2 linked regions of the Xenopus tropicalis genome follow. The protein of the gene in region 2 interacts with the protein of the main gene of each other region in a biochemical or structural test. Links are inferred from orthologs where the notes say so. Each region holds a gene or a part of one and is shown on either strand. Other genes may lie near its edges.

What was found.
Region 1: the proteins of sntg1 (region 2) and plekha1 form a complex in vitro, tested with the Homo sapiens proteins (2 studies listed by BioGRID and IntAct, with this or other methods). The link is inferred for Xenopus tropicalis from reciprocal best matches to the Homo sapiens genes SNTG1 and PLEKHA1.

The regions. Positions count from the first base shown.
Region 1 is NC_030683.2:18,981,852-18,985,507, forward strand, and holds the end of plekha1 (pleckstrin homology domain-containing family A member 1), read right to left. Parts: intron 3,166-3,656; coding exon of another isoform or gene 3,125-3,165; intron 1,655-3,124; coding exon 1,376-1,654; 3' UTR 307-1,375; downstream 1-306. UniProt on the Homo sapiens protein: Binds specifically to phosphatidylinositol 3,4-diphosphate (PtdIns3,4P2), but not to other phosphoinositides. May recruit other proteins to the plasma membrane.
Region 2 is NC_030682.2:113,973,691-113,977,346, forward strand, and holds part of sntg1 (gamma-1-syntrophin), read left to right. Parts: intron 1-471; coding exon 472-564; intron 565-3,227; coding exon 3,228-3,338; intron 3,339-3,656. UniProt on the Homo sapiens protein: Adapter protein that binds to and probably organizes the subcellular localization of a variety of proteins. May link various receptors to the actin cytoskeleton and the dystrophin glycoprotein complex.

The DNA.
Region 1 (3,656 bases), on a different chromosome or scaffold from region 2:
TGTGATCCTTACAGCCAGGTCTGGACTGGGACTCAAATAGGCCCTGGCAGTTTCAGTACAGAGAGGCCCAAACAGCCCCCCGACCAACCCAACAAATAGTGACTGTCATTGCATCTTACAGCAGCCCTTCTGGCATTTGCCAGAACCCCCAGATTGCCAGTCCGGGCCTGCTCCAAACATCTATATTTTTTGGATATCCACTTACTATATTAAAAGACCTACCTTTGTGTACAAACAACTATTCCAGTATTGTACGGTGGAGCCAGCAGAGCAAGGTATAACAGAACAATGGCAGAAAATACTGAATTTACTGAAAAAAGACAGGTTTATTTCCAGTGGTAAAGATATTTTAAATGGGCATTTTCACCCACATTATTTAGGAAGAAAACTTTATAAATTAGAAAGTATCCCCAACACCCACAAAAACATATAAAATAAAATCATTAAAAAAAACACACACACTTTGGGTTTTCTTTCCAAGAAGGGTTATAAAGGGGAAGCACAGAATTACAGCAGATTTGTTAGAATCAGCAGTACAAGTGACAGTCTTACAGCACGACCAACGCAGGCACTTGAGACTCAGAGGCAAAGATGGCGCGGGAGGCAGGGCGAATCCCTCCCCCGGGCTCATCTATAAAACGCCAAACTACAGGCTGGGCACAGCCAGAGGGTTTCTAATACTCTCAGCAGTACCTCTGACAAATAGAACGTCAAAAAGAAACAAAAGACTGAAAGGCCAACTTGGACAAGTGCTAATAACATTGTGGCTTTCAGATCTGTGGCACGTGGAAGAGATGTGCAAAATACATACAAGGGTCTCGGATTGGGGAGACCCCCAGAGTTTATGCGCTTTACCTCGGGGACCCTGATTATTGCTTTCAGCAGCACTGTGTCACACTGGATATGAAAAATACTGAATAAGCAAAATAACAAAATAAACATTAAAAGCATTTAAAATACCAGCAACCTGTGGCTCCCCCACAGATCTGTAGAGCTGCAGTGAGAGTGGCAAGAATAATTCAACCACAGCTTTGTAACGAAACCTCTATAAGAGCAACAAGGCACTCCATGCCACTACGGACATGATCCTATCAATCTAATGACCCCAGTCACCGTTCCATACTGGGGAGGGGGGAACAGACTGTTCCAACATTTTTCTGCTTTGACTACAAAAAAATAATTCTTGGGAATATTTTCTTCCAGTCGCACAATGCCATCTCTATAGCATTTAGCAGGTTTCCCCTTCACTGAGGAGCATGGCAGCTCAAGGGAATGGGTGCTGCTTTAACAGTTATGACCTCAAGGTGAAATTGCCCCAAAATGTACCCCACCACCCCCTTCCCCAAACGGCATACAAAGATGTGGCAGATGATGATCACACATCAGTGACTGGCAGGCTGGCATCGTCTAAATCCAAAAGCACAGGTTCCCGACGGCTGCCATACATGGTGACAGAGGCAGGAGTCATTTTGCCAGGCTGGTTTCCTGCAGGGAGAGTCTGGACCTTGCTGTATCCTGGCTGGGCTTTACTAACAGAGTTAGGTTCTTCCCTCTCGCGGATAGGCATTCCGGGGTCAGAGAGCTGAGCTCTGGCGGCTGAGTGAGGGAGAATGAAGGAACGAGAGGGTGCGCCATGTTCGGAATTTGGGGCCTCCTGCGAACAACAAAGACATGGTATGTGAGAGAGCCGCCTCACCGTGGGCTTGTTAGTAATCAGTGCCGGGTCTGATCAGCTGTGACAAAGTCAAGATAAAAAGGAAATGCTAAAAAAAAAAAAAATGACAGTTGCAAAATCATAAAGCATGATGGGACAGTCGTTATCAGAAGTCCATGGTTGATTATAACAAGCCAGAGAGAAAATCTTCCTAAAACATCAGCCACTAAAAGGGGAAATCATTAAAGGGTATATTCATTGTATCAGAACTTTTTTAGTCAGTTGAATTAGTTTGTGAGATTAACGTGAACCTGCTTAGAAAACAGCTGTATTAATAAGAAATAGCAACGACACTGGGGAAATTTGCACCTGGGCAGTAACTCATGGCAACCAATCAGCAGTCAGCTTAGTTTAGCCAACTGTATAACAGAAAACGGAACAACTGGCTGCCATGACCATGTAACTGGAGGAGTCCCAAGCCAGACTTGGATTTCTTACTATTGAGTGCTATTCTGATACCTACTGGGAGCTGCTATCTTGCTCCCTTCCTATTGTTCTGCTGATCGGCTGCTGGGATGGGGGGGGCCGATATCACTCCAACTTGCAGCGCAGCAGTAAAGTGTGACTGAAGTTTATCAGAGCACAAATCACATGGCTGTGTTTTCCCATGACATACGGATATGGAACAGCTACACTGTATCAAAAGCTGGCAAATAAGCTATTAAAGGCTAATTAACCCTTTAAAACAAGTTGATGTAAAATCGATGAGAGTGTCATTCTAAGCACTTTTGCATTTTATACATTTTTTTAATTTTTTAAAAAAATTTCCAAGATATTAAGGGTTAAAAGTACCGTTACTATGAATGCATTTTGTTAGAACAGCGCCGCCTGCTGGTCACTTTCCCAACATGAATTAGTCAAGGACATTGTCTGAAGAAACAAAGAGGGCTTGGCTGATGTTGTCAATTGGAAAAAGTGCTTAGAACAGCACTCTCATCAATTTTGCATCAACTTATTTTAAAGGTTTACTTAGCCTTTAAGATTATTATGATTTTAGTACATTATTGCTCATAAACAAGTGATCATATCACCCATGGCTCTAAATTTATACGGCTAAAGGAACAAGCATATAGAGCTATGAGTGACCCACAGTGAACACCTAGTAAATACTAAGCATTTTTCCTTTCCATTTTTGTATTCTTTCACTTCAAGAAGGTGCCATAGGCAAATATATATATATATATTCAGTTCCCATACACAGCAGACTGTGGATCTTTCTAACATTGTGCATGCTCAGTCATTGGCAGGAAACATATCATGCAAGCACACCAAGTTATAAACATACACTGTGCTGATGGATGGATGAGGAAGGGTGTGCAAATAATGAGGGTGTTGGACATAGGGACAGGGTTACATGAGAGGGGCGGCAGCAATTGATCAGTAGAGGGACATGCACTGCTGCCTGTGTACCTTGGAATACAGGGATTCGAAAGGCGTCTGACCTGTCGGATCTGCGGGGACACGGGTGGGTGGAAGTTAGATACTTACTGAAGGATCAAGAAAAGATGGGATAACAGAAAAACACCAGGAAAAAGGCAGTAACGGCTGTGTGGTTAAATCCTACGACTGTCGTGACAAGGACCAATTAATAGTGAGTATCTATATTATAACGTGAAGGAGGGGAGTACAACCTGTGAGTAAACAATTTCCAGGATCCCCGTGGATACGTATATTAAAAAATGTCATTTACATGAAAACATATATTAAATAAGTAATCTATATTTCTTAATACAGATTTGAAAATGTATATAATTAACCTTCACCTGTCTGTTTATAGGATAAGTAAACCTTTTAAATAAGGTGATATAAAATTGATGAGTGCTATTCTAAGCACTTTTGCAATTTACATTCATTATTATTTATTTTTTAACTACAGGATATTAAGGGTTAAAAGTACTGTTAGTATGAATGCATTTTGTTACAACAGCGCCAACAGCTGGTC
Region 2 (3,656 bases):
AACATGCAAATATTTTGTAACTAGCATTTTAACAACTGTAAATCACTTTATAACCAGGATGAGGTGGTTGTCAAAATCCCCACTCTACAGGGTTATTACTTGCCAAGCTACTGAATATATTTATTTTTATTATGTGCGTCATTCCCTTGCTCTCACCACCATTTCCATACCACGTGTGTCCTATTTTGCATCCCTGCACAAACTGATTGGGGGTGGGTGACAAGTAATTGATCATCAAAATTGGCAATTTTTATTGTATCAACACATGATGCATTCCGTGTAGGTAAAATTATGCAACTTAGTATTTTTCTGTGCTTCAAAGTCTGTTTTTCGAAACAATATTTCACATCATTTTTATTATTTGAAATGCAATATATATTGATAATCAGATGAAGTATCAATAATAATTCTGTAACGCTTTATAAAATAGAGGAATTGTAATTTATTATGTTAATATTTTGTATTTTTTAGTGCAAAACCTATGCCTGTGTAATTGAAAGCCATTTGATGGGTCTTACTATCGATTTTGGAATGGGATTTATCTGCTTTGATGCTGCAACAAAGGTAAACATATTATCTGATGAGTGTAAGCGTAAGCAAAAGTGAGGAAGGAGAACCCCCTAACAATGTGCAGTATGTCTAATGAGAATGTAAAGCTCTAGAGCAGGGGTCTCAAACTCGCGGCCCGCGGGCCATTTGCGGCCCTCGGTACAATATTTTGTGGCCCGCACCAACGCCTTCTCAAAAGCAATGAATGGATCGAGATTTTTATTGCGATTCAAGGGATAATGCAAGGCACGGCGGGCGGGAGCTGCTGATTGCGGAAATGACGTTATGCCATCATAACAGTTATTATGGGAAGACGTTCTGTGTGCACAATTAGCTGATTTCACAATTTTTTTGTGAAATCCCTTATGCGGCCCAGCCTCATCCTGACTTTGCCTCCTGCGGCCCCCAGGTAAATTGAGTTTGAGCCCCCTGCTCTAGAGAGTGACATACTGAGAGAGCTGCAAAGAGAAGAAAGAGGAAAAGAGTGTTAGCCTGAGAGAGGAAGAGTGATGATGATGGGCCAGGTCAACATGGTATAAAAATGGCACCGGTTTGGGTTAGAGAATAAGAGGGCATTTACTCAGGTTTGATTTTAATTTTGTCCCACAATCCGGTTTTTGCAGCAAAATACAATTTTGTTATGGAAAAAAACTATTTTTTCACAATTTATTAATCAACAAAACCAGAACAGAAAATAAAATACGCCATCTAAAACCTGTTGAAATCATGTAAAGGTCAATGGCAGATGTCCTTTTTACAACTGGAAGACCTTTCTTTTCTTCCTAGTTTTAGAATTTTTTTTTGGGGGGGGGGTTTGACGCTTGCATTTGTACGACAATATGGAAAAGTAGACGTTTTTGAGTTTTTTTCTGCGTCTTTTTTCATTTGTGCTTTTCATATTACAACTTTTCATAAATGACAGACATTCCCAGAATTTAGTTTAGTCGTGGTTTCAGAAACCTCGAAAACAATGAAAATGAGAATATTGATAAATGTCTCTAAATGTCTAAGGCAGAGCAATTATGACTAATAGTAATAAATCTGGTCCTTATTAGATTAGTCACAAAGTAAAGGAAAATGTTTATAAAGACAGTGATTAATAAGTATGTTCAGCAATAGCATTTTGATCTCCAATGTGCCATCACAATACATAATAATACTGTATATACCATTTCCTCTCCCCTGGGCCCAAGTTACAGGGCCATAAAATAAGGAACAATTACACAACACATATTGCAGCAAAAAAGTGAATAAGGCAACAATGCAATGTGCAAACCAATGCAATTTCAATTTCCAATGGGTTACCATAGTGCATACACGTAGCAAATAACTATATTATCTTAATCCCTGTGTGTTATTATAATAAAGTATACATTTTTTCTGCAGAAGTATACAAATTCCAATGTGAAAAAAGACCATTAGCCAGTTGCTAACCCCATCAGTCCATATATTATTGCTCTTTGAGGTTACAATATTATTGTTACTGTTACTATTTTTTACTTTTTTTTTTTTACTTCTCTCTCTATTCAGGCCCTCTCCTATTCATATTCTAGTCTCTCATTCAGACCACCGTCTGGTTACTAGATTAATTTGGACCCTAGCAACCAGATAGCTCCTGCCATTCCAAACTAGAGAGCTGCTGAACAAATAGCTAAATCATTAAAAAAAACATGCACAATAAAAACATTAAAACCAATTTCAGATTGTCTCAGAATATCACCCTCAACGGTGAATAACCCTTTTAAATTATGGATTGAGGTAGTTTCCTGTGAATGTCATTGCATTATATTGTTCTGATGTCCTAGACATCCCCTGCGCCATTTTGGGGAGCACATGAATTTCTTTGGCATTTTCTGCACTGAGCTTCATGAGGAACAAAATGCCGGCGCAGCACTCTCAGGAACAGTACCCCAGCCCAGTGCATTTTCTGAAGAAAAGGAGCATCAGCCTATGATAGGACATAAGCAACTAGAATCATTTGTTGCCTAAAAACTTGGCACCCCTAACAGTAATTTTACCTTACCTGAATTATTCAGGCTTATATATATGGAAATAGCTCCCATTGTATCTGTGAAGAAATTGTTCATTTTATTACATTTTTACTGTAGTTTTCTAATTGTCCGTTTGAGTAAGTTGATTCAGATAGGTATAGGCATGATTACTTGGACGCTGTCAATTCAATAATGCATACCAACTTTGATTTGCTTGAGTAAATATGACAATTCAGCCTTTCCTAAATTGTAATATTTGTCCTGGTTAGATCAATACATCTATGGTACTGCCTTCCTTAGGTACTGTAGTCACAGTTCTAATAGTACTAATAGTAAATAGAACTAATAGTAAATAGAACTTTAGTTTAAATTAAACAAAAGATTTTGGTGTCTATTTTTGGCATCTAAAATCTGTTTGGGTAACATGTAAAACTGCACAGAAAGCAATTAAAAAAAATACCAAACATACAAAAATGCATAGAAAATATTCTTTACACACAATTTAAATTATGGCATTCATAACATGCAGGCGCAATTTAACATGTTTTGATGCATCTGCCACAATTGGGTCAGACTCTTACCCCCTCCAGTGGACACAATTAAGCAAGAATTATAAGAAAAAAAAGTGAACTACCCCTTGAATGTGTCTCATCTTAACTATGTTTTTTTATTTCCTTTTTCTTTAAGGCAATTCTGTGGAAATACAAGTTCTCTCAACTCAAAGGTTCTTCAGATGATGGAAAAAGTAAAATTAAATTTTTATTCCAGAACCAAGATACAAAACAAATTGAAGCAAAGGTAAAAGTATTTTGTATCCAAACAACTGTACTCTTGGGAAATATTTTGTCGAGAACAACAAACAGTGTAAAAAATGATTATGATCATGATTATGAAGAACACAAAAGTCCATTCAGTTCATCCCCTCCAAATGATCCCCAGTGCATGCATACATACTGTATACACACACACCTAAGACCCAACACTCACAAATATATAGGGTATTATGTACCCCGTGTGTGTGTGTGTGATTGCGTGAGCGCGAAAGCTTGTGCAATTATAAATGGGCCCCAACCCTTCTTGATTCATTTGTTTTCTATTTACATATAAAAAAAATAG